Cricetulus griseus: one gene and its partners. The protein of the gene in region 6 purifies or fractionates together with the protein of the main gene of each other region. This does not show direct contact. Links are inferred from orthologs where the notes say so. Each region holds a gene or a part of one and is shown on either strand. Other genes may lie near its edges.

The links.
Region 1: the proteins of Sqstm1 (region 6) and Casp8 purify together in Homo sapiens (affinity purification with western blotting; 5 studies listed by BioGRID and IntAct, with this or other methods). This does not show direct contact. The link is inferred for Cricetulus griseus from reciprocal best matches to the Homo sapiens genes SQSTM1 and CASP8.
Region 2: the proteins of Sqstm1 (region 6) and Vdr purify together in Homo sapiens (affinity purification with western blotting; 3 studies listed by BioGRID and IntAct, with this or other methods). This does not show direct contact. The link is inferred for Cricetulus griseus from reciprocal best matches to the Homo sapiens genes SQSTM1 and VDR.
Region 3: the proteins of Sqstm1 (region 6) and Trim25 purify together in Homo sapiens (affinity purification with mass spectrometry; 3 studies listed by BioGRID, with this or other methods). This does not show direct contact. The link is inferred for Cricetulus griseus from reciprocal best matches to the Homo sapiens genes SQSTM1 and TRIM25.
Region 4: the proteins of Sqstm1 (region 6) and Ntrk1 purify together in Homo sapiens (affinity purification with western blotting; 6 studies listed by BioGRID and IntAct, with this or other methods). This does not show direct contact. The link is inferred for Cricetulus griseus from reciprocal best matches to the Homo sapiens genes SQSTM1 and NTRK1.
Region 5: the proteins of Sqstm1 (region 6) and Mavs purify together in Homo sapiens (affinity purification with western blotting; 3 studies listed by BioGRID). This does not show direct contact. The link is inferred for Cricetulus griseus from reciprocal best matches to the Homo sapiens genes SQSTM1 and MAVS.
Region 7: the proteins of Sqstm1 (region 6) and Cd44 purify together in Homo sapiens (affinity purification with mass spectrometry; 3 studies listed by BioGRID and IntAct, counting the BioPlex papers as one, with this or other methods). This does not show direct contact. The link is inferred for Cricetulus griseus from reciprocal best matches to the Homo sapiens genes SQSTM1 and CD44.

The regions. Positions count from the first base shown.
Region 1 is NC_048595.1:413,109,378-413,114,280, forward strand, and holds the start of Casp8 (caspase-8), read left to right. Parts: upstream 1-1,911; 5' UTR 1,912-1,997; intron 1,998-4,903. UniProt on the Homo sapiens protein: Thiol protease that plays a key role in programmed cell death by acting as a molecular switch for apoptosis, necroptosis and pyroptosis, and is required to prevent tissue damage during embryonic development and adulthood.
Region 2 is NC_048595.1:394,401,080-394,405,885, reverse strand, and holds the start of Vdr (vitamin D3 receptor), read left to right. Parts: upstream 1-1,663; 5' UTR 1,664-1,744; intron 1,745-4,806.
Region 3 is NC_048600.1:102,145,875-102,150,062, forward strand, and holds part of Trim25 (E3 ubiquitin/ISG15 ligase TRIM25), read left to right. Parts: intron 1-2,920; coding exon 2,921-3,154; intron 3,155-4,188.
Region 4 is NW_023276806.1:66,668,430-66,673,312, reverse strand, and holds the start of Ntrk1 (high affinity nerve growth factor receptor), read right to left. Parts: upstream 3,245-4,883; coding exon 3,033-3,244; intron 296-3,032; coding exon 221-295; intron 1-220. UniProt on the Homo sapiens protein: Receptor tyrosine kinase involved in the development and the maturation of the central and peripheral nervous systems through regulation of proliferation, differentiation and survival of sympathetic and nervous neurons.
Region 5 is NC_048599.1:47,327,488-47,330,862, forward strand, and holds part of Mavs (mitochondrial antiviral-signaling protein), read right to left. Parts: intron 1,141-3,375; coding exon 650-1,140; intron 1-649.
Region 6 is NC_048600.1:64,656,950-64,660,326, reverse strand, and holds the end of Sqstm1 (sequestosome-1), read left to right. Parts: coding exon 1-194; intron 195-1,628; coding exon 1,629-1,786; 3' UTR 1,787-2,462; downstream 2,463-3,377. Other genes in the region: Mrnip (MRN complex-interacting protein), read right to left, coding at 2,543-3,031. UniProt on the Homo sapiens protein: Molecular adapter required for selective macroautophagy (aggrephagy) by acting as a bridge between polyubiquitinated proteins and autophagosomes.
Region 7 is NC_048599.1:74,826,207-74,830,394, forward strand, and holds part of Cd44 (CD44 antigen), read left to right. Parts: intron 1-2,207; coding exon 2,208-2,309; intron 2,310-3,997; coding exon 3,998-4,087; intron 4,088-4,188. UniProt on the Homo sapiens protein: Cell-surface receptor that plays a role in cell-cell interactions, cell adhesion and migration, helping them to sense and respond to changes in the tissue microenvironment.

The DNA of each region.
Region 1 (4,903 bases), on a different chromosome or scaffold from region 6:
AGGGAAGCAGAGTAGGCAGATCTCTGTGAGTTAAAGGCCAGCCTGATCTACAGAGTGAGTTCCAAGACAACCAGGGCTGTTACTCATAGAAACCCTGTCTTGAAAAACCAAAAATAAATAGATAGATAGATAAAAAATAAAAAAATTGTGAAATAGGAAAAGAAAGCGCTGAAATATAAAAAGGACAATAACAGTGACACTGGCTTATTTCTTAAGCCCATTTGCTTGGACATCCTTTTTTACCCATTCACATTTAAGGCAGTGTTTGTTACTTTGATGTTGAAGTGCTTTTTTTTTTTTTTGTCGGCAACAAATAGATGGATCCTGGTTTTGGTTTATTTATTTATTTTTTTAATCCAATCTTTTAAATTGTGATACTGGGACCACTAGTATTCAGAATTATTATTGAAAGGTGTTGCTCAACAAGTATGCCCAACGGTTGCCCAAGTGAGACCTCATGAAACTAAAATGCTTCCGTATAGTAAAGGAAATGTTAACTGGGCAAAGAAACAGGCATACAGAATGGGAGAAAAAAATCTTTACACACTGTGTATCTGACAAAGCATTGGCATCTAGACTATACAAAGAACTAAAATAGTAAGCAATATGAATGGAAAAAACCCAGTTAACAAATGAGCTAATGGAATGAACAGGTGGTTCTCAAAAGATGAAATACAGCTTGACTAAGGGGGCAAAAGCACTTGCCATCAAGCCAGACAACCTTAGTTCCATCCCTAGAACACAAACCATGGAAGAGGACAGACTTCCAAAAGTTGTCTCCTGACTTCCACAAGTGGCAAGGATGCTCCTCACTCTCAAATAAACAAACAAATGGTTAAAAAAAATTACAAATAGCTAAAATCCGTGAAGAAATGCTCCACTTTACTAGCCATCAGAGAAGTGTGAATTAAAGTACATTGAGATTCCACTATATCCCTATTAGAATAGCAGTCATTAAGATAACAAATAACAACAAATGCTCCAAAGAAATTAGATAAAAGGGACCCTTCTACCATTCTGATGGGACTGTAAGCTGGGCTGGCCTCTGGAAAATCAACATTGAGGTTGTTCCAAAAATTAACAATAGATCTACCATGCAACCCAGCTGCAGGTATGCACAGGACTAAGTCAACATATCATGGAGACATTTGCATATCCATAGTTATTCACAAGAGCTAAATTATGGAACCAACCCGACAATTATAAGCAGAGGAATGGATTAGGAAAATGTGGCATTTTACACACACACACACACACACACACACACACACACACACACACACACCAATCACACAAACAGAAATTTTCAGCCACAAAGAAAAGAGTATTTAATTACTTATTTAGATATTCAAAATCTTGCATAAAAAAATAAAATCCACCTGGGCAGTGACAGTACACGCCTTTAGTCCCAGTACTTGGGAGGCAGAGGCAGGTGGATCCCTGTGTTTGAGGCCAGCTGGGTCTACAGATCGAGTTCTAGGACAGCCACGCTACACAGAGAAACCCTGTCTCCAAAAACCAAAACCAACCAACCAACAAAAAAAAAAAAAAAAAAAAAAAAAAAAAAAAAAAAAAAAAAAGAAAAAGAAAGAAAGAAAGAAAGAAAGAAAAGACAATTATTTGCAGGAAAATGGACAAAAACTGAGATAATCATATTAAGTAAACTGAGCCAATCTCAGAAAGACAAATGTCATTTGCTTTTATCATTTGTGGTTCCTAGATTTTATATAGTTACATAAACTGGTGAGTACGGCATGAACGTAGAAGTGAAACTATCTTGAGAGTGGGGGACAAAGGAACTAACAGGAGATCCTCAGCATACCCGAGGTCAGCCCTCTTCCTCCTGCCTTCTGTACCGCCTGTGCCAGGAGAGCAGGAAGTAGACAAGGTCTAGCCTCCAGGTCTGGGTTTCCCTCTGCCTGCCACACACTCCAGAGAAGGGGCTTGGGAGCCAAGTGCCCTTGGTGAAGACCTCGCTCGGGTTTGTTTCTGATAAGGTCAGTTGAACTTTTAAGGGGGAAGGATCATGATTCTAGAACTTTCTAGGTTTCCGTGGGATCTGGAGTCCACATGGCTGTAGAGGGATTCAGGGTTTGAATACTGGAAGGGAAGCCAGGAGCTTTATCTATGTGGGTAGCTGCCCGCTGCCCTCTGTGGGCCTTCTGCCACCCCACCCCACCCGACCCCATAGACGTGCTTCTGGTGTTTCTGGAACACAGCAAGTACAGCCGTCTATTGGAAGGCACCTCCTTGAAGAGAAACCAAAATTTTAAAATTTCAACTGACTTGGCCGCTCCATTTCCTGATCCACTTACCTGCCCCCACATTTTCTGATATACACATGCAAACCCCAAACACAAACACTATCTTAGCGATCTGAATATAAATACACACACACCCACACACCCACACACACACACACACTGCAGTCCACCGAACTACCTCTCCAGCCTATCATTTCTCTTAAAAAAGAAACAGGACCGTCCGGAGAACGAAACAGTAAGGAAGGAGAGATAAAAACTCAGAAATCTGTACTGGCAGCGAGGTTAGACGTCTTACACTTAACGTTTAATTAGAAAATGATGGCGTTGGCTGTATATTTTATTGAGGTTTGACTGCCTTTGCTGGTATGTATGGAACACCTGCCTACAGAGGCTTCGTGGTAGGATCTTGGAGAGGCAGAGCTTGGTTAGAGCCCCACTTCCCGGAGCTCCCTTGCCTGGTGGCAGAGGTGTCACTAACAGTTACACTTGGCCTGAGAGAGCCTTTGGATGACTGTAAACTTTTATCCCTGGAAAGTCCTAGCAAGTTGCATTTTATGCTCCCACCCGGCATATTGGAGGTAGTTCTCTAAGTGGAAATAGTTCTCTAAGTCACGGGAGGAGCGGGCTGTGCCTATTATTCAAGGAAGGATAGTGATTAGACAGTCAACTGAGGCACGTGGCAGAGCCCGAGTGAGCTTCCGCTCTAAGGTAGACTACTCCTTGCTCCTCAATGGTGGGCCAGCCACATTCAAGGAACAGCTTTTTCCCGTTTTTCTTTTTTTCACTTTTAATATTTCTGAAAATTTTGATTATTTGAAAATATGATTATTTGTTTTTCTGTTGCATCTAATAGTAAATAGAATAAAATAGTATATCTTTTTATGAGTGTGTGTGTGTGTGTGTGTGTGTGTGTGTGTGTGTGTGTGTTTTCTTCATGTGCTTTCTATCTGGGGTTTTTGCTGGACTGGAACTCACCAAGCAGCCAGGATAGGTTGGCTGGTATTACAAAAATTCTATGTTTTTATGGTGTGTGCTGTTGAAGCCCTTGAGTGACACATGGGAATCTGAGCCCATGTCAGACTAGGTGATCTAAGTTGTGACTTAAGGCAGTAGTAAAATGAAGTCTTCTTGTAAAATGAATTAAGAGAAATGTTGTATGCTGATATGGATGCTTCTGAACACTTACAAGTCATAACAGACATTTACTTCCATTGAAAGATTATAGGTCATACATATATAAAATATTAAATGCTCTTGTATATTATAGTGTGCAAGCATATTTAATGAGATTATTTGACGGCAATAATAGCACATATACATGATATGACCAACTTCTCAAATTTATTTATACTTACACACTTAGGCAGAAATGTGAATAAATTTCAGCACAAAATGCCAAATGTAAACAGAGAATTATTTCAAAGTGTTAGGATTTAAAAGATTTTTATGCTTTTCTATACTTTCTCTGTGAGGTGTTTCCAGGAACAGAAGAACATAGCAGCAAGCATTATTTAAAAAACACTAACAATGGTAATTTCCTGTGAGTTCAGTCTAGGTCCCATAAAAAAAAAAAAAAAAAAAAAAAAAAAAAAAAAAAAAAAAAAAAAAAAAAAAAAAACGAGACCACAGGTAGTCTCTGTAGTCTCTGTTCTTACAGAGCAGGCAGTCTAGCAGCAGTTTTTTTTTTTTTTTTTTTATGTCTCTTAAATTCCACGAAACTGATTGCTTTTGGGATGCTATGACTAGAAAAACATGTGTGACCTAAACAAAAACAGCCAAATAAGACTGAATGTTGTGGGCCATGGAGTGTCTTAGGAAGCTAAGAAAAGTGCCTGTTAACAGTTAGGACTTGTTTGTTACATTATTGCCAAGGTGATGAAATGAGTGAGTTGTGATGTGCACAGGGCCAGAGGCCAGTCACATTATGTCAAAGCTCACTGTCATAGTGGCCTCAGATAAAAATGGGTGGGTGCTTTTGTTTTGTTTTTCTGTAAGAAAATGCTGTTAAAAAGACATGAACGTGGGAAGGAAACTTGTGAGGAAGAGGGAGGGTGACAAGGATAAACATATGTACACCTATGAAATGGTCAAAGAACATGCTTAACCAATTAAAACAATTACAAGCTTTAAAATAAGAGAAAATATTGTTGAATATGTGACAACTGAAAAGGCTTATTAATGTAATTTCTTGATCTTGTAATATTACTTACAGGAAAATATCCTAAGGACATAGGAGTACATTCAGAAATTTGAACTTTCAAACCATCCTAAATTTAATAAGGCTGAGTCTGGAGAGATGGCTCAGTGGTTAAGAGCACTGACTGGTCTTCCAGAGAACCCAGGTTCAATTTCCAGCACCCACATGGCAGCCCATAACTGTCTGTAACTTCAAGATCTGACACCCTCACACAGACATACATGCAGAGAAAACACCAATGCACATAAAAATAAATTATTTTTAAAAATCGATAAGGCCTGGTTATGTGAATTATGTCCATATGGTAGATACCTTATGGATATTAAAATCTGTGCTATAAAGAAAAAAAAGATATCCAAAAGTACTTTAAATATTATAGTGGGAAAATAAGTATGGATAAAATATTTTGGTAGAAGCCAGGCAGTGGTAGCTCACGCCTTTG
Region 2 (4,806 bases), on a different chromosome or scaffold from region 6:
TAGAGATGCCCAGAGACCAGGCTTTGCCTTATGGAATGCACAAGGTCGCTTCTGGGCCTAGAGTCTTTGCAGAGTATGCACCTGGCAGGAATCTTTTGTTAGTATACAAACAGCTGAGTTACAGAGCTCTAATGTGGTGTCTTGTGTGTATGGAAAAATGCATAGATATTCCCTGATAAAACTGGTCAGAGACAAACACTGAGCAGAGGCAATCTGACCAAGTGACCAATACCATCCATCCTGGAGACAGCAGAGAATTAAAGAAATGTTGTCTTTAGAAAAAAGAAAAGGGAAATGCATGCCTTCTATATGCAGAGGTTCTGGAGTGTGGTTCCTGGATCAGCCTAGAGGAGTTTGGTTTTTCAAGACAGGGTTTCTCTGTGTAACTCTGGCTGTCCTGGAATTTACCCCAAAGACCAGGCTGACCTGGAACTCACAGAAATCCACCTACCTCTGCCTCCCGAGTGCTGGGATTAAAGGTGTGTGCCACCTCCACCCAGCCAGTCTAGAGGGGTTTAAAGCTGTTAACTCTGAAGTATAGTTACCAGAGACCACTGCCTGCCCTCAAGGCTTCCGGGAAAGGTAGTGTAAGAAAGCAATCTCTCTCTATTCCAGGACCTACCCAGGGAAATGTGGAGTCAGGAGACAATAAAAGGTTCTAGGAGAACAAGGAGAAAGAAATCTTGCTTTTGTCACTGTTATAAAATGACTTACTGGGAATAAAGCTTGGGTGGCTAAAATTCTTGTTCAGTATAAATACAAAGTGTCTTATTATAAGGTAACAAACCATATGACAGACTAATACACTCTATGGTGGCTCATTGTTGCCTGGAGATGGTGGCAAAGGTTCGATGGGATGGACAGAGCTATGAAAGAGAGCAGAGTCTGGAGGGCCAGATGAGGTCCAGGAACTGGGGGAGGATGAGAAGGACATACTAGAAGTGTGATGGTGGGAGCAAATCATAGTGTGTGACATCTGTAACCTTGCAAAATTTGCCAAATCTAGAACCTCTGAGTTCTTCATGGCAAGAGAGGATCGGGGGATGGGGTGCAGAGAACCGGGAAGCTGAGGCAAAGCCAGCTGGAATGAGATCGCAGTTAGCCAGGAACGTGCCCCCTCGCTGTGGTTAAGCCGCCGGATAGGAGAGAGCTCACAACTCCAGTCTCCAGTCCACTTGGGTCCCCCTGTGCTTGTCCTAACCGGTGAAGTCCGGCTTTGCGCCCAGCATCAGAAACTGGCCGGCGATTTCCCAACGGCGAACGGAGAAAGGCTCCTCGCAGCGCGCCGCGGGCGTCGGGGTCCCGGGTCAGCTCAGGTGCGAGTGACGCACCTGGCAAAGGCGTCTGCAGCAGACTGGGTAGAACCACGGCAGCGGGGCGGGGGTGAGGTGGCGAATACATCACGGATCACCGCAAGCAGAAACATGGATCTGCACGAACGGAATCATGAAAGACCGCCCCAAGTAGGGCAGAAGCCTGCGCCTCGCTGTGACCGGAGGTCGTGGATCCTTTCACAAAGCAGGGTCTCCTAGGCGACAGTGCAGTGGTTGACTCCAAGTCAAGAAGGTTTCAGGGCAGGAGAGGACTGGACCTGGTGGGCGTGGCTAAGGGAACAGGGCGGTCCGGGGGCGGGGCCTTGCGGGGCGGGGCCAGGTGCTGAGCCGTCTCTGCTTGTCAAAAGGCAGCTGCCGAGCCAGCCCTAAACGCCGGGAGCGCCAAGCAGCGTGTCCACCCGCCGGACCAGGTGAGGATCAGGGAGCAGCGGGAACCGGGTTCAGGGTGAGAGATTAGATTCAGGGGCGGGCGTCCGGGGTCGAGAGGTCTTAGTGCCCAGGGGCAAGAACTAGAGACCAAGTTTCGGTAGCAAAGTTGGCGATTGAGATCCGGACTGTGGTGCCATGAGGTTGGAACTCTGAGAGGGCACCCAGGTCTGAGAAAGTTGAAGTTCGTGAGATGTTGAAGAGGGGGCAGCCACCTTCCGGGATGCTTGGGGGGCTCAGCGCAGGAGTCCTTCGCTAGGACAGTTCTCACCGGACAACAAGCGTTTGTTTCCTTCCTCGGACCTGCGCTCTAGCGTGGAATGGAGGAGTAAGAAAGCAAGTGATTGGCTGTGGATGTAGCTAAGGTCTCTGGGGGTGGAGTGTGAGTAGCCTGTTTATTACCCAGTTGGGCCCATGTGTGATCACCTGTGATGGTGGAGTAGAATCCTTTAAATGGAGTTTTCTTTTGTTAACTTTCGAAAACCGCCGGTGCTTTGAGACCTAGTGTACTGGATTTCTTTATCAGAAAAGCCTGTCCACAGACGTCCAGAGGGACTCAGGGGCCAGTGTGGAAACTGAGGAAGGGATTTAAGAAATAGTTTCTGTTTGGTGAGTGAGGTTCGGAGGGAGTATTTGGAAGGGAACTGCATGATCCACTGTCGTCACGACCACTATCACCCACCTGAGGCTGCCTGCCTGTTCTGGGGGAGCCTTGCTTCTATGAGCCTAGGCCACACTCCTCTTCCTCCTCCTGCTCCTCCTCCTCTCCCTCCTCCTCCTGCTCCTCCTTGTGGTGAGTGAGTCAGCCTCCTGTCTGGGCTCAGAGCAGCAGAGGGGCCAGAGCCCAGGCAAGCAGTTGGGCAGGCATTTTCTGAGCATTGCAGAAGTTCCCTTGGACAGAGTTCAGCTCTTCCCCAGTGTCCTGGGGAAGGCCATCTTCTTCATGGACATCAGGGGTGGGGGAGTGTCATCAATGGTTATTTGATGGCCATGGGCTGATTCCAGGTGACCAAGAAGAGACTTTGACTGTTCTCTGGGATTGGAGGTACATCCCAATATTATAGGCTTACCAGCTACTGGATCCACTTCTACTGTGTTAGTGAGCCATCTTGCCTAGTAAGGCAGGCATAGAGGAGAAATCGGAAGAGAGTTTGGGGAGCAGAAAAGGCAAGCAAGGTTTTTTCCCAGGCTAGGGAGTAAGAGTGGATTCTCAGAGGCAGAGGGGGTTGTCTGGACCTAGGTCCTCAACTCTGTGAGCTAAGGGTATTTTACATTTGGGAACCATCGCTATTTCTTTCCCAGATTAACACTGGAGAGAACTGTGTGGATCTCTGTGGAACACTTTTCAGTACTGGCATGCAGCCAGAACAGGAGGTAGTAAGAGTGAAATCCTCTGCTGGTTTTGTTTTAGATACTAGAGACCCTTGAGCAGAAATGGGTAACCTGGGCCCCCACTCAGTAGCCTTTTCTAGCTTGTTTGAGAGGAACCCAGGGAGCCTGACACAGTTACATTGCCTCAAACTGTAAAGAGGTAGGAAATCACATTCTGTGCTCCGGCTTTAGGTTTGGCTATTCCTGAGCAGCCGTGACTTGGTTCCTGACCAAGACGGAGAAGGGACTGGGAAAGGAGAGAAAGGAAGAGAATCAGGCAGCCCAGCTGACCCCTCACACTTCCCCAGATACAATCCTATGCCTGTGCTTCAGGATGTTGTGCTTATTTGTAATGACGTTTCTCAGCTCCATCCCCTGTCTACCTATGAACTGATCTCTTTGAGGGACAGAGCCCTCTGGAAGCCCTCAAAAACCCCCTGGACCTCTGCCTTCAGCACAGATTGCAGGTATCCAAAGCTTAGGCCTTCAATAGAGGAAGGCCTAGGATAGTGGTTCCCAACCTTCCTAATGCTGCGACCTTTTAATACAGTTTCTCGTATTACGATGACCCCAACCATAAAATCATTTCGTTGCTACTTCATAACTGTAATTGTGATACTGTTATGAATTGTAGTTTAAATATCTGATGTCAGAATATCCGATATGTGACCGACCTCTTGTGGAGGTCATGACCCACAGGTTGAGAACCACTGGCCTAGGGTCTGGTGGGCTAGACCAAGAAGTTACCCAATACAGGAGAATTCTGTTGTACAGTTTTTCACCCTACATCCTAGGGATTGGCTACAATCAGCGTCTGGGCTGCTGCTGTCTATGCAGAATGGCAAGGCCAGGGTACCTGGGTCACATTCTGATGTGTAGCTGGATGGTGGGTTAGAGGGCTCCAGCTTCTGCTTGTCACTGCTGTGATGTTTGGGATGCAGGTAGAGGGAATAAGGACACAACCAGATTTGATTAAGAGCCTCCTGTGTGTCCCAGCATAGTGCCAGGCTGCCAAGGGATGTCAGCAGGCAGATCTCAGCAGGCCAGGCTTCTGCCTCCAAAGAGAGCTCCATGAGGAGCAGCAGCCCTGGCACCATCTCCACTGCTGTCCAGTCGAAGGCTCTGATGGGCTGAAGCCAGCTGGGCAGCTGCTCTAGACCAGCAGGACCTCACTTGTAGCTGCTGCTCTCTGATTTGTCCTTAACATTCCTTAGTGACTGTGTGATTTACTGTCCAAACTGGGATGCTCATGAGTTAAAGGGGGTTTTGTGTGTGGCCATGCAGAGACATAAACCCAAACCCAGGAGAGCTGCAAATCTACTCATCCAAACCCAGGAGAGGTCACACAGAGTGATTAAGGGACAAGGCAGGTGGGAGAGATGTAAGGCTAAGTGAGATGAGAGTGGAGCCACATAATTCTCAGGCTAGCCTTAGTTGGTCATTCCAGTCCCTTCCTTAAGGGTAGTATTGCTCCTGGCCACCCTGACCCAAGACCCAGCCCACCACCATGAAAGAAGTGACATTCTTTCATCCTTCACTTGTGGCTGGCCTTGGCTTTGGGTTTTCCTGTGCCACCCCTACCTCAGACAGGGACACCAAGGCCTGTGAACTCCTCTTCAGCTTCCCCAGGGGAACTGGCGTATAATGAAGCCAAGACTCAGCCTTGCACTTCCTC
Region 3 (4,188 bases), about 37 Mb from region 6:
CCTGGTGCCTGTGGAGTGTGTCAGATCCCCTGGGACTTGAGTTACAGATGGTCATGAACCTCCATATGAGTGCTTAGAATCAAACTGTCCTCTGGAAGAGCAGGCAGTGTTCTTAACCACTGAGCCTTCTCTATGGTACCATATTACCTTTATATTGAAAGAAAGGAGCTGGAATTTTAAGAATACCATTGCTGAGATGCAGCAACTGTGCCTTCATTGATGGCTTCAGTTGTGTTGGTGGAGATGCAAGTTTCAACCCCCCCTACTCCCCCCCCCCCCGCCCGCCCCGAAACACACGCAAAGCAACCACAACTCCTCTGAGAAGATAGTGAGACCTACAGGGTGAAGGTAGAATTATGAATATTGGTTGGTTGGAGGGCAGGCTAACCTCCTAGGATTAGGATCCATTTAAATGCAAATCAATAAGGTGGTTCATTTTGTTCAGTTTAACAACCTAAGTCCACACAAGAGCAACTCTTGACCCTTAGCATGGCTTTGCTCCAAATGAACATTCCTACTGTCCCACTACTCCACAGTTTGATGCTCTCATGCCTTTGATTGAAGCTGGATTTTTTTTTTTAAGCCAAAGGCTATTATAGAAACTGGCTGTCAAGGCAGAAGGTACTGAAGAACAAAGATGCTGGCAGATCCAGGATTGCACAGGCTGTAATATATTAAGGATTTATTGGCAGAAGGATATGTTAAGTAGTAGCAAAACAAGAGGATCCCCCCGATCCCTGTGTCACAAGGCAGGAGGGAAGGGGTTTTTTTTTTGTGCTAAGATAGGCAAAGGTGGCCCATGGCCAACTGGAATGTACCTAGATTTTCTAAAATAATAATAATAACAACTATTAACATGTCATGTAGGGTTTGGGATTTGTGTTAGGGTCATATAGCAGTTACCACCAAGATGGCAGAATTCAGCCCAAACTGGGTCCTTACTCTGGGTCACCTTTACCTGTTTGCTCTAGCCTGGGAAAAGGGAAGCAAGATGGAAGATACCAACAACAAGCAACTTCCTCTTAAGCAATCAATGTGGTGTTGCACATACTACTTCTAGCCTTGCCTCACGGGAGGCAATTTAGCCACTTAGCCACCCTGGCTAAGCCCATTTGCAGGGTAGTCTGGGAAATGTAGTCTGAGAAGCTGTATACCCACTTGACACTCCTGGGGTGTTCTCTTACTAAAGAGCAAAAGAGGAAATGAACACTGAAGGACACTGGTGTTCACAGAGGAGGTAGTGGGAAGGGCTGGATGAGAGGCTCAGTGAAATGGCTCAGTGGGTAAAGGGGCTTGCTGCACAAGCCTGACAACCTGAGTTTGATCCCCAAGACCAGAGGAAGAGGAGAACCAACTCCTGAAAGTTGCCCTCTGACCTCCTGGGGGGAGTGTGCACACAACAACAAAATAATAGTGATTAATAATAAATGTAACAGTTTTTTAAAAGTTGAATTCCACTCTTTTGGTGTACAGTATTTGTGTTTGTCATGTTTGATTCTAAACTATTGAGGTTAACCAAGAAGTTTGTTCAAAACTACAACCTTTGAAGCAACACTGTCTACCAGAAACATTCCAGACATCTCTGATTTTCTTGTTTTGTTTTTATTTATTTATTTTTTCTGTGACAGGATTTCTCTGTGGCTTTGGAGGCTGTCCTGGAACTAGCTCTATAGACCAGGTTGGCCTCAAACTCACAGAGATCCACCTGCCTCTGCCTCCCAAGTGCTGGGATTAAAGGGGATACCACTGCTGTCTGGTATCAAGTCTTTGACATCCAGTGTCTACTAAGAGTCATGATAGATCTTTTCTTGAATTTGGCACATTTCAAATGCGCAGCAGCCACGTGGAACACTCAAAAAGAGAGTTCTAGGGAATAATCCTCTTCCGGAAGTTTTTGAAATTGTTTCATGCCTTCTTTTAAAAATTTACTAGGGGCCAGGCAGTGGTGGTGCATGCCTTTAATTCCAGCACTCAGGAGGCAGAGGCAGGTGGCTGTCTGTGAGTTACAGGCCAGCCAGGGCTACCCAGAGAAAGCCTGTCTTGAAAAATAAAATGTTATGTTAACGTCTGCAGTGTATCCCTCCCCGTTCCTAATTTATCATATTTATTCCCTAATCATTTATACCCTAAACACAAGCTCATTCATTCCCGTGTGTTTACATATTTATGCCTTTTTGTTTGTGCATGCATTCCTTGGTAGCAAACACCGCCATTCCCTCAGTGTCTAAGCTTTGTGTGAAAAGAATCACATAGCTTATGTGTTTTCCCTTGTGAGCTGGATCCACATGTACCTCCAGTTTATCGTTTAATGTCTCATCCTAGGATGGTTCTCAGTCTTTGCATCAAGTCTCTCCTGTACTTAGCTTCCCCACCCCCAGATAGCTCAAGTGTCCCTCCTGCCTCAGTCTCCAGAGGAACTGGAATAATAAATCTGTGCCACTGTGACCAGCTCACTTTTTGCTGTTTCAAACAATGATGCTTGTGAACAGTTGTCTCCCCCTCATCTCCCACCCCAGTTTGGAGACAAGGGTCACACATAACCCAAGCTGGCCTCAAGTATGCTATGAAGCCAAGGATGACCTTGAACTCTTGGTCCTCCTATCTCAGCCTCCCAAGTGTTGGGATTACAGTTGTGAGTCACCATACCTGGCTGTGCTTGTTAACATTCTTTTTGTTGTTTTGTTTGTTTGTTGAGAGTGGGTTTCTCTTTGTAGCCCTGGCTGTCCTGGAACTCACTCTGTAGACCAGGCTGGCCTTGAACTCAGAGATCTGCCTGCCTCTGCCTCCAGAGGCATGGCTGCCTAGAATGGTGCCATGAAGTGTCATACAGTTCCTGGTGCTCCCCTCTCTCCGACACACAGGAATGCGGCCTTAGCATTTTCACCCATCTGACAGGAGCCCCTTCATTTTTGCCTTGTAGGACTCTATGAACAGGAAAAAGGAACAACTGAGGCAAGAATATATGGAAATGAAGGCTATCCTTGATTCAGCGGAGACCAACTTGATGCGTAAGCTGAAGGAGGAGGAGAAGCGGATCCACGGAAAGCTGGACAGCATCTACCAGGTTCTTGCCAAGAAGAAGAGTGAGATGCAGAACCTGAAGGCGGAGGTTGAGCTCACCCTGTCCAAAGGGGACGAGTTTGAGTTTCTGGAGGTGAGTCGTGACGAGGGTGCTGCTGTGTGTGTGAATATCTCAGCGTTGATAGTAGTTTGGACCTCACAGAGTTGGGGCTGGAAGTGTCCCGGAGACACGCTGTATTTCTATGCTCTGCGATAGCTTACCTAAATTTGGGGCTTTGGAGAACATCTGATTATTGTCCCACAGTTCCCTTAGCTCAGTATCTGGGTGTGGCTCCCTGTTGTTGACAAGGCATCAATGGTCTAGCTTCAGGCTGGGCTGTTTTCCAAGCATACCTGACTACAGGCAGAGTTTAAGTTCCTTGGGGCTATAGATCAAGTGTACACTTTCTTACTGGCTGGCTGATGAGGCCTTCTTTCAACTTGGCATCATATGCTTCCTCAAGCCAGCAGGAACATTTCTCCCTCTATCTAGGAAGGCCCGCTTTCCTCTATTGAGGTCTTTTACCCAGTTAAGTATCCTGTCTGCCCCTCCCCCGGCAGGATAATCGCCCTCTTGATTAATTCTTTTATCTGGTTTGATGTCTTCCTTACTCCTGCGGTGTACCTCCTCTGTTCCTTGTAAGTTTGTTGTGCAGTAACAGCCTATCCCACCCGCCCTGTTGTGCTCAAGGAGATAGTTACGGAGGGTGTGTATAAGAGGAGAATCGTGGTACCAACTCAGTTTGTCACTCACTGCACAAGTGCCTACCTTCTCTTCCTGTCCTTTCTCACGTGGTCCCTGAAAATGTCTTTCTGAAGCATGGCTGTCCAGTTCTGTTTGCCTCTGTGCTTCTTAGCATGGTGCACGAATGAGGTCCTTGCTGTCCAGACTTGGTCTTTGCTGTCAAGTTCGTCTCTTGCCCGTATCCTTTGCCCATGCCTGTGTTCTGACCACAGCAGGCTCTACACTCTTCATTCCCACTGAGTCCTCTTCTGCCCAGTGGATTATGCCCTTTTTCCAGGGCTACCCCTTGAGTCCCGCTGTTACATATTATTAGTGTGTCAGAGTATTCCCACTCCACCATCACCACAGCACTGAAGATGTCATTTCAGATGTGCTTGCTTTCG
Region 4 (4,883 bases), on a different chromosome or scaffold from region 6:
GGGTGAGAGGAATTTAAACTCTGCCCTCTGCTCACCCAGGCCAGACACCCCTGTGGAGCTGTGCACCCCTCTCTACCCCTTAGGCTCCACAGTTATCTGGACCCCTCAAACCCCTGAGCCTCCACACTTCTCCCAGACTCCCAGGTCTTCTGAGAGCCCAATATATGTGGCCACCCACCACCCTGTGCCCAGTCCCACCCGGTCTACCCTTAGTCCTCACAGGCTTCTCAACTCCCCCAGGCCCTGCAAGTCCCTGGACTCCAGGCGTTGTAGGTGCTGCTGGTTCTCCACGTAGCTGCAGGGAGAGGGGTGGTGAACAGGGTCAGGGCCTCAGTGGAATTACCCCATTCCCACCAGCCACCCACCTCCCTCACAGGCACCTTTCACACACAGACCCATGTCACCTACTCATTCATGCGCATGCCCCCACATGCTGGCACGACTCACAAGTCACACATGTGCATACAGGCATGCATGCACCCTCACCTTTACAAAATACAGACTCTCACATGCCTCCTGCAACACATAGGCAACTGCACAGAAACACACGGGGATATCCTCATACTCTCACCCAAGGACACACATGAACAAAGCTCACATAGACGTCTCTCACGCATACACAGATGAGAAGGTGTGAAGATATGTTAGCCAGTGCACACTGCCATTCTCAGCTTGGGGCTCCACTTTGATAGCAGGCCCCTTCAGCATATATATGCTCAACAATAAGCGGGTCGTGCTGGGGCTCACTTCCACAAAGGGCAAGGCTCTCAGTGCTGCTGCTCCACCCAGTGCTAAAGATGCCCCAATGGTCATGCTAATGTGTGCCCCAAACACAGCTCTGAGACTGCTATCTGGGTTCACTGACCCCAAACACACACACACACACACACACACACACACACACACACACACACACCACCCTCTGTCCCCTCAAAACCTTTCGTTCTTCCCTACAGCATCCCTACTCTCCCCTCTCCAGTACTTTTCCAAAACAAGCAAAAAGCATAGAGCTGTTAAGGACCCCTTAGTCCCTCCTCAGTCCATGAAGGACACAGGAAGGGAGAGAGGAGCATGGAGCAGATGGAGTCTGAGTGTGTGGCTGAGGAGAGATGGAGATACAGTGTGAAACACAGGAAGGCTGAATGAGGTAGCAGAAGGTGGGCAGAAAAACAGAGTAAAAAACTCAGAAGAGACTGAGTAGTGGTGGTGGGAAGGGACATACAGATAAGAACAGGGGGCCACAGAGATAAGGACTGAGAACCAGGGATGCAAAAAGAGAAAGACGGCACTCGGGGTGAGGTGGCTGTGGTTGTGGTTGCAGTCCTATCTTGTGGATCTGGCGTCCCGGAGTTCCTGTGAAGTTACTTCCCTGTAGTGACATGTCCTCTGCAGTGGCACGTCCATGTTTCCTCTCCTCTCCCAACTCCCGTATGTGGCAGGGGCCCCTGACTCACTAGCAGTTCTCAGAACTCTTCCCCTCTCTTTTAGATTTTCCCTTAGTAAAAGAACAGCGAGGGAACAGGCTCAGTCCAGCCCCCCCCCCAACCCCAGCCCTGCTTCCAGCCTTGACTTCAATGGGACAGTACGTGCCTATCCTCAGCCTAGAAGCCTAAGGAGATGCAGACGGCCACTTTGGGGGAGGCCAGATCCCTGTTCTGCCCCAAGGGTTTCAAGCTTCAGAGACCCAGGGAGTTGATAAGATGTGAAGAGCTGGGTAAGTAGGGCTGTCAGGCAGTGTACTCCAAGCCGCCTCATTTGTTCAGATTCATAATCAATCTGTCTATTCGAGTCCATTAGCTCCTTGTTAGCTATGCGGGTGAGGGAGGAGGGAGAGGATTGTGCAGGACGAGGTGGGAGGATTGGCCCCACCCAGGGGGACATCTCAGCTCACCGCTCTGCCAACCTCCTCTTCTACAGCCCTAGCTTGCCCACTGCCTCTGTCCCTGGGCTGGACTCCCTTGGAGCCTGTTAAGGCACTGGGGAATGAGAACGCTGAGAGGCACAGTCAGGAGCCGGGACTCTGGTTTGAATGGGCAGGCCTGGGAGCAACAATCTAGACCTCATGCCCCCTCCCATCATGCAGGAGCCTAGGCCAGACCAAGACAAGGCCATCCCCTCTCTTTTTGGTCTCCCTAGGGCCATTAGAAAGAGATTGAGTATCTCCGTTAATTACTACAAGATGCCCGAGTAACTCGGTGCCAATCACGGCCAGCTGCTGGTTCTACCAGCATGCAGAATACTCAAGTATTTTCCAGCCATCACCCTGGGATGCTGAGTCCCTTCAGGTCAATTATACTCTCATAGGTTTCACCAGCTGCTAAGAAGTACTTGCATATTTTGTAACCAATTATTGCAGAATGTCAAAGTACTGCAGAGCTTAAGGTTCCGCCCAGCTCTGGACCTGGAAGAAGTGAGAATCCCTCAGCAACAGCCCTGACTCCCTGATACAAGTAGGGAGACATTGGTGAAAGGGGAGACGGGAGAGAAGCAAAGGGCTTTCATTTCCCACATCCAAATCAAGAAGTCAATGGAAAGAAGAAAAGCTCATACAACAAGCTGGTTCCTCATCAACTCCAGCTCAATCACAAACCCAGGGAAGACCTAGGGTCCCTGGCCAAGACAAGGGAGAGGTTGGGGACTGGCTTCCCTCTAAGATAGAGAAGATGGCAAAGGTGCACAGTGCCGAATTCTCCACAGCTAACCCCCACACCGAGGGGCAGAATTTGGGCTCTTGAATGAACCCCACAAAGAGGCTCCTATATCGATGGACCAAGACCTGGTCCCCTTTTGCTCTGCCCCAAGCCAGCACCTCAGCCAGCTACCCTTAATCCTGGGCGACGTCCAGACAGTGACTGCGCGGCTTTGCCAGGGTGGTGGCAGCAACAGCAAAGCCGCTGCAGCACAGCCAAAGGTTACACGTGCCAGCCTCCTACAGCAGCCAAGCCTGGCCCCTCAAGCCAGCGGTGAGTGCGCGCCCTCGGGGAAAGGCTGTGCCCTCCTGACCCCGCGTGCCTCCCCCGCCACACACTCACAGCTCCGTCAGGTTCCCGGCGCCCCGCAGGCCGTGGAGGGTATTCAGGGCCCCTGCCCTGGTGCAGCGAAGCCCCGAGGGGCCCACGGGGCAGCAAGCCTCAGGACAGGATGCGGCGCAGGCAGAGGCCAGCATCAGCGAAGCCAGCAGGCCTCCTAGCCCCGCGGCTCGGCAATGCCAGCCCAGCTGCCCGCGCCGCTGGCCTCGCAGCATCGCGGCGGCGCCCGCCAAGCTTGGGCTGCGCCGTCCGTCCGAGCGCTCTTAGCTGCCACCGCCCGGCCTCGCGCGACACGTGCGCGGGGCGGTGTTAAAGACCAGCCACCAGGAGAGGGCGGCACCCGCGGCCACGTCCCGCCCCGCCCCGCCCCGCCGGCCGGTGCCCCCAGCGCCCCCTCCTCCCCTTTGGGGCCCTAATGCCAGCTAGCCTCCCTAATGTCCCTGGCGGCTGCAGTAGACCTGGGGCGGAGGATTGCTACAGGACGCCTCACAGGCGTCTTCTGAGACTGGAGCGGGCTAGGAAGCCGATACGTTATTTCTCCCAGTAAAACAGCTGCATTTTCAGATTTGCAGGGACAGGGAGAGATTGAGCAAGGAGAAGGTTGAAGTCCAGGTCATCCCAAACAGCCTCGCGGTGCACATGCCTAAAAGAGTGTGCATGTCACTTGGAATAAGTTTGATGAACACTCTCCAGACGCTAGTAAGAAAAGGGAGATGGCCCCAGAAAGACCGGACGCAGAACCTGCGGAGGAAAACAGAAGGGGCAGAGAAGTGTTCTCTCAACACAGCTGGAGGGAGAGTGGAAAGTGGAGACCGCTCAGTCCGCAAGAGACCACAGGGTGGCGCTAGAAGCCCTTGCGCCGCGGCGTTTGCGCCGGGCCTGGGTCTTCGAGGGCCGGGAAGCGCGCGCGGTTCGCAGCCCTGCCAGCCTGTGCCTTCTGTCTTAAGGTCAGTCCCCAATCGCAGCCAGCCAGTTGGGGCACAAGGCCGGGTAGGGCCAAACAGAGCAGGGCTGGCATCGATCGCCGTCCTGACAAGTGCATCGATTTCTGAGCGGAGAAATTAATAGATCTCTTAGCTCTTCGGACGTGGGAGTTGCCCGCGGGTAGAGCTGGGAACCATCGACCCTTGGTATTTGTGAACCTGGGAAGTCCCAGGATCCAGCATTCAGGCCATCAAAGGGCAGGTGTCGCGCATTGGCCTTCCTGGCTGCAAGTCTATTAAGTCTCACACTTTTTTGTTTTGTTGTTGGTGGTGGTGGTTTTTGTTTTTGTTTGGTTTGGTTTTGGTTTTTCGAGACAGGGTTTCTCAGCAGCTTTGCAGCCTATCCTGGAACTAGCTCTTGTAGACCAGGCTGGCCTCGAACTCACAGAGATCCGCCAGCCTCCGCCTCCCGAGCGCTGGGGTTAAAGGGGTGTATGCAAGTCTCACGCTTAAGAGGGGACAGACAGGTGGGCTCTGGGAGTGACCGAAGTATGTAGGACCCAGCTAACCAGTGAAGGATAGATAGTCTTAGTGGCAGTTAGCTTTCTGCTCCAGGTCCCAGCATGAATAGTCCCTCGAGTGTCTTCAAACGAGTACACAGAGTATACACAGAGCATACAGAGACACACCAAACATCCCGAGTTCTTAAAAGTAACCAAACGAAGGAGGAATCTCACAAAGGGACTTGGCAGGGACGCGCCCCGCGGCAAGGGGTTATGGTCAAAGTGGCCTCAGGAGGCTGGGGGGTGCGGGGGCTGCTAGAGGCGAAGGTCTGAGATCTTCAGGTTCCACAAGCGGACTATGCGACCTGTCCAGCCTGCGAGAAGTTACCCTCTAGGGTGTCAAAACACCTGTTGGACTCCAGAACCTC
Region 5 (3,375 bases), on a different chromosome or scaffold from region 6:
ACAATAGCTCAGACCACCCTCTCTTGGAGGTTCAACTCATCAGTGATACACACACAGATGGGAGGGAAGTGACCAAGACCCTGCAGTAAGCCTTCCAGAGCAGCCCTCTCCCACTCACTGAGCTGCTGTGAGCATCACTGCTAGGGAGCCCTTGCTGGGGTGTGACCCATCTTACACTACCTGGGCCTGAGAGTCACAGGGCAGCCCAAGAATCCAAGGCTTGTGAACTTGGTTCCTTTAGGGTAAACAGGCCTTGGGGGAAGTAGCTGTAGGGGTCACTGAGTTAGAGTAGCTGCTCCAAGCTAGATGCTTGAGACCACTGTTCAATGAACAAGGCACATGAGCCATCAAGTTCATCCCTCACTACTTCATCTACGAAATGGTACTGCTTAACTGGGGGCTCTGAGCTCCAAGTGAGTTAATGTACGTGTCAGTGGGGGTGGTCCCATGCCCCACTCTGCCGAAGGTCTATCATGCCTCCTAGAAAACAAGGGGTAAGTGCTGGATGAGGCTGATTCCCCTCGGTCCCAACACCTTGAAGAACCAGACCAGAGACAGAACAGAGACTAAAAGGGTCAGAGGGCAGGGCAGAGGACCAGCTGTCTTGGCAAAGTGGACTGAGTGACTATTAGGAGGAACAAAGACTCACCTTGGCTTGGTTGTTGCTCCTATTGGGTGGTAGTACATTGGCAGGTGCTTTGGCCACACTAATAGGCACTTTGGATGGCATTGTGCCAGCATATGCTGAGTTGATGGGTAATTTTGACGGTGCTATATTGGTGAGCACAGTAGAAGGCATTGCAGCAGTGGACTTTGTACTGATGGGCAACTTGGAGGACATTTTGGAAGACACAGTAGTTACTGGTACCAATTTGGTAGAGGAAGGCACTGAGCTAGTGGTCACAGAATTGGTGGGTACTCCCCCATCTGTGCTGAGACAGGTGGCAGCTTTGGCCTGGTCACCAGCTCCCTTTGCCAAAGCCAATCCAGTGGAAGAGGAAGACAAGGAGGTATCAGGAGATGGAACTGATACTGTGACCCCAGGCAAGTGGCTTGTCCGCAGGGTGGTACGTGGAAGGGGCTGGAAGGAAACAGTTGGAGACACAGGTCCATGGAGTGGTGTGGAAATGGAGTCAACACCTACAGGCGAAAACAGACACAAATCCAAAGGATTGTGTTACATTAAGGGCTAGAGAAGGGTCCCCATGCCATTGGTTACAGTCCATATCACATCTGGTTTCCCAATTTCCGGCTCGTGGAGAAGACTCAGACCTTGACGCAGAGCCCTAGTTGGTCCCTATCACCAAAATAAAATGGCATCTGCCTTCATCCGCACCCAAAAGCTTGATGCTCATTATAAATTATTCTTTTGTTCTTCCACCTTGGACACTTGCCTCTTCTCCCACTTCTGCCTATTCTAGTTTGTCCTGGCCTTCTAGCAAGAGCAGTCCTGAATCAGGGCAAGGGACAACAGGATGGCTCAACAGAACCACAAGCATACTTCCCCAAGGAATAAGGACCTAGTAGTCCCAGAAAGGGAGCTTGATCTGGGGAAACCAGAAGCAGCAGGTGTTAACAGGACATAAGGGTAATGACATCAGACTCTTCAGAGAACTCTCAGGACACACATGCCAAGGCTGACAAACATTAGAAGTGATGTCTCCCCTTAAGCCTAATAGAAAATCTCCAGGCACCTGTGATCACAAACATGCTACAAATGAAATGCCCTTAGTGCCATAGTTCACAGAAGTATTTCCTGAGAAATGTCTTGTGACAAGCTGATATTACAAAGCCTTGTGACTGAGGGATGTTTGGGAATGAAAGCATTTGGGAGCACTAAGATGACTTCCCCCAACCTTTAACTGCTTCACACAGCAATTCTAGGGCACTGAGGGCAGACCAGGCACCTGTGACAAACAGAACAGAGTTAGGAAAGTGGAGGTGAGCCATTCTAGCCTGGAAAGCCAGGGTGGATAGAGTACAGTCCTGAGGGGGAGCATCAGGTTCCTCTGACCCGTGACTGACTCATCTAGAGTTGAAACACTTTAGTAATTTTTCTGGTGTCTTGGTTACTTTTCTATCACTGTGGCAATACCGTGACCAAGACAACTTACAAAAGAAATCACTTAACTTTGGGTTCACAGTTCCAGGGGGTTAGAGTCCATGAGGATCATGGTGGGGAGCATGGCAGCAGGCAGGCATGGAGATAGAGCAGTAGCTGAGAGCTTGCATCTGATCCACAAGCATAAGGCAGAAAGACAGAGACAGACAGACAGACAGAGACACAGAGAGACAGACATACAGACACACACACACATACACACAGAGAGAGAGAGAGAGAGAGAGAGAGAGAGAGAGAGGGAGAGAGAGGAGAGAGAGAGAGAGAGAGGAGAGAGAGAGAGGGAGGAGAGGAGAGAGAGAGAGAGAGAGAGAGAGAGAGAGAGAGAGAGAGAGAGAGAGAGAGAGAGAGAGATCGCTAACTGAAGATGGCATGGGCTTTTGAAACCTCCAAGCCCACCTCTTTGACACACCTCTTCCAACAAGGCCAAACCTCCTAGTTCTTTCTACATAGTTCCACCAACTAGGGACTAAATATTGAGATGCATGAGCCTCCAGGAGCTATTCCCATTCTAACTACCACAGCTGGGAACTAGAGACCTCCTTGTGCAGAACGGTGTTTAAGAGCTCCTTCGTCGAGTGGAAGTTCACGAGCCCAGTCTGACAGCTGGGGAACCAGCATAGGACCAAACCAGGCCCCCACTGGGTATCAGTGGGGAGGCCTCGGCAGTCTATGGGGCCTCTGGCAGTGGAACCAGTACTTATCCCTAGTACACGAATGTGCTTTGGGAGCCCATTCCCTATGGAGGGATACTCTCTCAGCCTAGATACATGGGGGAGGGCCTAGGTCCTGCCCCAAATGATGTGACAGACTTTGATGACCCCTCATGGGAGGCCTCACCCTCCCTGAGGAGTGGATGGGAGGTGGGATGGGGGGGTCAGTGGGGGGAACGGGAGGATGGGAGGGAGAGGGAACTGGGATTGGTATGTAAAATAAGATTGTCTTTAATTTAAATAAAAATTTATTTAAAAAGAAAAAGAATTTGCTGGGTGTTGGTAGTGCATGCCTTTAATCCCAGCACTCGGGAGGCAGATGCAGGGGGATCTCTGTGAGTTTGAGGCCAGCCTGGTCTACAAGATCGAGTTCCAGGACAACCTCCAAAGCAATACAGAGAAACCCTGTCTTGGAAAAAAAAAAGAAAAAGAGCTTCCCTCATCAGCTAGTCCTATGCTATCCCTCATTCAGGTCCTGGTCAATCCATACCAGGTCCTTTTACCTGAGTGCAGAAATAGTGCTAACTCTGTCTCACATGCAGC
Region 6 (3,377 bases):
ACAGATGGAGTCTGATAACTGCTCAGGAGGAGATGATGACTGGACACATTTGTCTTCCAAAGAAGTGGACCCGTCCACAGGTGAACTCCAGTCTCTACAGATGCCGGAATCAGAAGGGCCAAGCTCTCTAGACCCCTCACAGGAAGGACCCACAGGGCTGAAGGAAGCTGCCTTGTACCCACATCTCCCACCAGGCATGTGGTCACCAGAAGTTTCATTTTCCTTTGCTTTCAGAGTATCCTAGCCCAAGTCTGGTTTTGGTAACACAAAATGGGGTAGCATGGCCTAGGTTTTTTTTTAAATGGCAGTACCTAGTTGTGTAGTGCAGGGTAGCTTTGGGATTGTAGGCTTGTCTGCGGCACACTCCTTGGTGGGGCTGTCAGTTGACATCAGAGAAAACTAGAAGCTGGTCTGACCTCTTCTGTTTGCATCCAGCAACAGTAACCTCATCTCATTTTAAGTATTTCTAAATCTCAATACCCAGATGTTCTGAGAAGGCAGATGTTACAGGAAAGGCAACACTGGTTTGGGCTGCTTTGTACCATGAACTGAACTCAAACCCTACACACCATTTCCTCAGGGGGTTGCAAATTTTAATGGCAAGCACCACAGTCAAGGCCCTAGTAGAAGCCAGGCAGAGTATGGAAAATGCTGGACAGGAGTGGCTAATCCCAAGTGTACACCCTGCAAGAGAGGCAGCCTGCTCCCAGGCTAACGGTGTTCAGGTGGCTAACTTTTCTCCGGGCCAGATTTGGCCTTGGGGCTTACAAACTTATTTTGTGCATGAGAGCCAGAGGGGCAGCAAACTGGTGCATGAGAGTCTGGGAAGGGGCTGTAATCATGAGTTCAAGGCCATCCTGGCTACACAGTGAGACCTACCTCTGTATCTCCATGGCAGACTGCTTATCTCACTTGCAAGGCTCTGGACTGGAGTCAGACTAGAGCAGGGGAGCTGAAGAACTGGCTCATCCAATAAAGTGCTTGCTGTGCAGGCGTGGCAACTGTGTCTGTAGTCCAGCATGGCAGAAGGCAGACAAAATCCCTTCACAAGCTGGCTAGCTAGATAGACAAGCTGGAGTTGGCAAGCCATGAGTTCAAGTGGGGAGCAACAGAGGAAGACTCCTACTTCAGCTCTGGGCTGCCACACCTTCACACATGCATGTACACCTACATAGGAATATAAGTACATACGCCAAATAACAACAGAGGGTGAGGAATCAGAGGCAGTTAGAGGAGATTCACGATTCACATTTTATTATCTTTAAATGGTTTTTATTTGGGTTGGTTTTGCGATGGTGTCCCACTGTTGCCCAGGATGTCCCTGAATGATCTTCCTGCCTCCTCTTCTTGAGTGTTAGAACTACAGGCTTGAGCCACCACATCTGGCAATAAACTTAATTGGAAAATAACTGCACTCATTTGTTTACATACCTTCTGGCTGTTTATGCTACAATGGTAGAGTTGAACAGTTGTGACAGACTGGAAAGCCTACAAAACAGGGCTGTTTGGCCCTTTAGCTGGCCTCTGAGGGTTCTTGTGAGGCCTAAACAGGGCAGTCTTCCTGGCAGGCAGGACTTGCTATGTTTGGAGTGCTGCAGGGTGCCTGACTTTCCTGTCTGTTTTGGCAGAGGCTGATCCCCGACTGATCGAGTCACTCTCCCAGATGCTGTCCATGGGCTTCTCTGATGAAGGTGGCTGGCTCACCAGGCTCCTACAGACCAAGAATTACGACATCGGAGCTGCACTGGACACAATCCAGTATTCAAAGCACCCTCCGCCATTGTGACGGGCTTGTGCCGAAGCCCTGTGACCCACCCCCTTTGTCTTGTAGTTGCATCAAGTAGAGCAGCAGGGCCTCAATAGGGCCAGTTTCTTAGCATTCTTCCAGAATCTACAGGTGGGAATGTGTGAAGCCTTTAAAGCAGTAGGAGAGTGACATGAGGGGACAGTTCCAAGAGTGTACATGCTGACGCCTGAGAACAGACCCAGGTACTTGTGGCTGAGCTTCCCTCTGCCTTCCCTGAGCCTGGCCTTTGCCAGGGAGCTGCAGAGGTACACTGCACTTGCTCTTACCGCCAGCATTGCACCAGCAGTCAGAATTCTTGTCTGATGACCTTCTGTGTTTTCTTTGTTAAAAGTGATTAATACACTGACAGTTATTTTCAACAAATAAAGCTATTATGTTAAGAGGGGGCTGTCCACAGTAAGTCAAAGGTGGCGGGCATTTGGGGCCTCTGGCTCCTGGGGGATGGAGAACTCTTGAAGTCAGCTGAAGGGTCTCACCATATACTTTTTAATGATTCACACTTAGTTTTCGTTCCAATGTTAATGCTTTTAAATGAAACCCCATGTAGCTTTCTCTGACTTGATTTCTAAATGACCTGTAATTAAGTGGCATATGCACTTTAACCAACCCTGTGGTCCTTATTATTGTTGAACAAGAAAAATCTGTTTGACAGGCATATTTATTTGTTCGGGTTATTTGTTCTAAAGCACCTCCGCCTGTGGCATGGAGGACCCATTACATGAGTCAGAGTGAAGGTTACAGGTCATCCTCAAAGTCCTCCCCAGTTGTAAAGAGGTTGTGCACTGCTGGGGCCTTCTGTGCCCCTTGAGCCAAGGGCCTACCATCTGCTTGAGGAGTCCCCATGGCCCATGGCTGCTCTGGGGTCTTCCTGCCAGGCCCCTCTGGCTGGGGTGTGGTAGCGGGAGTGGTTTGAGGGCGCTGGACAGTGTCAGGGGCCCTGCTGAAGTGGCCTTCCCCTGGAGTCTTGGCATCAAGGGTCCCTTGCTCAGCTTGTGTTGGGTCAGCTAGCCTGGTGCCCTGCAGAAATCTTGATGGGTTCTCATCCACATGTGGGCTGTTTCCAGGTGACAGCAGAAACCGTGCCCATTTAGAAGATTGGGCCTTGACCTGCAGGACAGGACTTGGTAGTTTCCATCTAGGAAAACCAAGCTCCCTGATGTGGGTTGCAGCCCCGAGGGCAGAGCTGCCAACTTGTCGCTCTGTCCCTAACAGGCCAGTGGAGTCCTGAAAAAAAGAGAAAGGGTTCTGTTCAGCTTGGCAGGACTGTTGGCCAATCCCTGCAGGCTAGGGACATGCTGTTACTGTGAGGTCTAACAAGTCCGTTTCTAAATGCCCCTACCTTACCCTGATCTGATAAATCCCATGACCACATTTCTCCCATAAAGGAGACACCTTGAGTGAGCCATCTCCTGGGATGCTTTGGGACAGGCCAGCAGTCCCCATGAGGAGGTGTGAGCAGGGAGGGGCCTATACTCCACTACCTAGAGATGCAGTTAGTTCATCAAGCCTGTTTGGTCCCAGCTAGGCTGGAACAGCTCTTCAAAGCTGGACTGAGGGTCAGGAGCCCAGG
Region 7 (4,188 bases), on a different chromosome or scaffold from region 6:
TAATTTGCACATTTAAAAGCAACTTTCCTGTTAAAAGTAACAGCAGCAACCTGCTTGAGAGAAACACCAAGAATTGGTGGCCATTGTCCTCTTAGGATTCAACAACTGGAAGACTGGGTTTCTATTATACTCATGAGCAGAATTACATTTTTTAAAACAAAATATCCTTATCACAAAAATGTAACATTCCAAAATAACCAAATACAGGGTTTTGTAAATTTTTTCAGAGAAGTTTCATTTAGATGTATTTTCTGGATATAAATTGTCAGCCATATGCTCTACACATATCTGACTGAAATACATTCTAAAAAGTAAATAATTAATCAATCAATAAATAAATAAACTCAGCAAAACACCTCCAGAATCATTATTAAGTGTCCAACCTGAAGAAGAGAGAAAGATTCGATTTCATAGGTAAATAATCAAGTAAAAGGTGTTAGATCTCATAGGCAGTCCAAATATCCAGAAAGGAGCTCAATCTAGACTATAGGAGGATTTCTAGTGGTTAGATAAAGGCCAGCATTCCTCAAGAACTTGTGGAACCAGTTCCCATCTGTCAAAAGGAATCAGTTCCCTTAGCTCTGGCAGAAAGGACACATGGCTCTCCATTGACATATACCTGCCACTGCAGATCAAAGCCCATGTTGGCCTCCAAGATCCCTCAGTCGCAATTCACAAGTACTTGTTACAACATTTCAAAGTCCCCTGTGCCAGTCTCCTGGCTCTCCCCTCCCCACAGCTACTCACCCTCCTTATATTCTTACTTTTTTTTACTCTCTCACTGTGTTCTATTCTCTATCTCTTGCTATCTTGCTGTCTCCACTATTCTCTCTCTCTCTCCCTCTTTCCTAGCCCTGGCTATGTCCAGTCTTCTGGCCATGCATAGTCTACCTTTTCCTTTCTTTGTTCTGAACTCCTCCAGATGCCTCTGGCTGTTTCTCTCTCTCTCTCTCTCTCTCTCTCTCTCTCTCTCTCTCCTCTCTCTCTCTCTCTCTCTCTCTCTCTCACACACACACACACACACACCTACAATACAAACCATATCACGAAGTAGTCATGTCTGCAGTTTCTTTACTACGTTTCCTCACACACACATGACAGCTTCTATCGTACAATGACATGACAGTCCTCAAAGCATTTTTCTAATCAGAGGAAAAATAAACAAGGGTGGATGCAGACATTCATCAGACAAGGCCATTTCCTGGTAGGGTATCCATTTAAAATTTTGAATGGGGCAACTGGCCTTTCTTCTTTGAAATCCTGATGGTAGAGTGAGCCACACATTTTTCTCTAACAGAGATCTTATCTGTCTTTGCTTTTAGCATGCAAAGGCTGGAGTCCCAATGTGGGTGTCCCATATCCCAGTGCTTCCCACTGTTGGAACTGATTAGATCTCCCCAGAGGCAGTGGTGTGGGTGGACTGAGAAAATTGTAGAGTTAGCAATATTGATGGTGTTTATGGACTGTTTGGCCTTTATTTCACTCTGAACTTGTTATTCCAGCCCATAATAGATCTGTGATAACCATCAGAAAAAGCAGTCTTTTTAATTACTTCAGGGATGTTTCATACCACTCAATACTATAATCAGAACTCCCAAGATACGTCTTTCTTATATTTATGGGAAGAATGATTCTTGTTTGTCTATGGATACTTCCTGTTGTCTCAACATAGTTATATTGGGTAATGTGTATATTTTTTTGTTTTTTCTGTGTTTACGTTGTGAAGCAAAAATAAAAGAACAGAAATAACCAAATAAGGGAATTCAATGGCTGCTTAAAAACTTTTCTTGGTGTTGTTTTGTTTGGCCTGGTGAGCAGGAGGTGACAAAATGGTGCTTGTGTGTGTTATTTGTCTCCATGAGTCTGACTGTATTTGTCTGCCTTGGAGTTGAGCAAATTACACATGGGCTACATTTCTGTCCCTTTGCCAGGACTGTGAGCCTCATTGAGTGCTCTTGCAACTTCCTTCCAGACAAAGCAAAACAAGCAAACAAATATGTGATAGCTTTAACTCGACTCTGCCCTGAATGAAAACCATGAATATCCTGTGGTATTCTTAAAGAAACAATCATTTAGCATAGTCTGTACATGTGAACCTGTTTCTTTCCTCTTATCAGGCTGAATATAAAAATTGCTTGGCTGTATGACAATGGCCCTTGGGCAATGGCATAGGGAATAAGGCAGTAACACAGATTTAATTCCTTCAGATACGGACGCCAGTCATAGTACAACCTTTCAGCCTACTACAGCTCCAAATACCCATTTGGTGGAAGACTTGGACAGGACAGGACCACTTTCAGTGACAACTCGTAAGGATAATGACACACAGCTCTTTTGTTGACCTGTCTTCCTACTTCACATCTGCTCACATTGGTCAAAATGTCACATTTGGTGGTGGAATGGTGTGGTCTTTGTTAGGTGGTTCAGCTCAGGCAGGGGATGAATCCGTTTTCATTGGCTGTCTTTCTTGTATGGGTTCTTTAAACCTGACTTTATCTTCATTCAGAGTCTCCTTCAGAGCCAATGACTTTTTATTAGCAAAAGGATATGGAGGCTTAATTCATCTCCATGTTTCTTCTCCAACTCTTCATGTGAAGGACATTGAAGACCATCACTAGTAGATTGTTTTCTCTATGTTTTAATAGAAACTTTTTCATTCACACCCTTCTTCCAGCCAAGGAAGGAGAAAGATTGCGTTCATGATGGTGTAACATGAGGGCCAGATTATCATAGTGAATAGAGAAATAGCATTTAGACTTGAGAGGAGCAACAGGCATGTTGTTAATAACTGACCAAAGTGGCATCCCTGGAATTAAAAAGAATCATTTGCTAACATAGTTTTCTATCCTTAAACATCTGCCAAAGATGAAGGAATATGAAATTTTTAGTGTCCTTAATTTTCACCATGTGTATAAGGATAGCCCAAGGATCAACCCAAACTCATTCATAAATTCTTGGCAGATTATCAAAGAAATCTCCAAATTAAGAAGGCCTCATTTTACTTCTTGCTACACATAATGGTCAGAGTCCTTTATAGGAGACCTTTAGGCATAGGGAAAAAAGCCAGCAGGCATGTATTGACCATCATTAATGTAAACAACAGTAATTGGCATCAAAGGAGATATAAATAAGCCTATAAATGGCTCTTGCCAATGCAGGACTTGTATTTCCATTTTGTGTTACTGTTGGCTTTTGTTCTGGTGTTGGATTTGGGATTTGGTGAAGGTCTCTCCTGGCTGCATTTATTGGTGGTGGACATGGCTCATGGGCATGTTTTATATAGCCTTTGTACCCGCTCCTCAGAGGTCAGTCAGTGCCTTTCTTGGAAGAACACAAAAGAAACTTAAAACAGTCAAAGTAATTTCAGATATGGGCAATGATTCAATCCCAAATTGATAAGTCACTGAGGGCCCTGTGTTTGCCCAGGCAAGCATTTCCTTGGTGCAGTGAAGTGAAACCCTGTTATAGGCGAGATCACAGCCTATTAACAAAGAAGTAACTAAAATGCAATGCTTTCTACAAGGGAGTCATGTATTTCCCTGTAAAATTTTCTCTGGGTTAATTGATGGAGATGAGCTTTTTCTTTAGTGTTCGAAGACAAGCTACATAGCACTTTTTCCTTATAACTTCTTTGTTCACAATTTGGCAGTCTTAATGGTTGAGGAAAACTGAAATTAAAGCTCTACTTTTCATATCTGTGATTTTTGTTTCCTGGGGATCCCTAGTGTAGTTGGGTCAAGGTGCTCCAGGGAGGGCAAAGTTTTGGCTTTGGCTTCACTTTGGAACTGCACTAAGAGAAAAAGAAGCTAACTAGGGACAAAATATAATTTTTCTGTATATTTTTAACAATCGGGCAGATGATAAAGGGCAAATTTATCATTCTCCCTTTGTATCTATCCATCTGCTAATTCATAGCTAGATCATCAATGTAAGTGGGCAACAAAGGACTTGTATCATGGTTCCTAATTAACACTAACTTCATCCCTCATTGAAACAGCGCAGAGTCATTCTCAGGACTTCTTTACATCACATGGAGAAATGGAAGAAGAGAAATACCACTCAACAACTTCTGTTCTGCCATCTAGCAGTAAGGATCATAAAGCCCAACTAGCTTTGGTTATTTAGCAGAAATCAAAATGTTCTGGTATCTTCGGTGGTGGTACATCCATTGCTAATTTTTATACATTA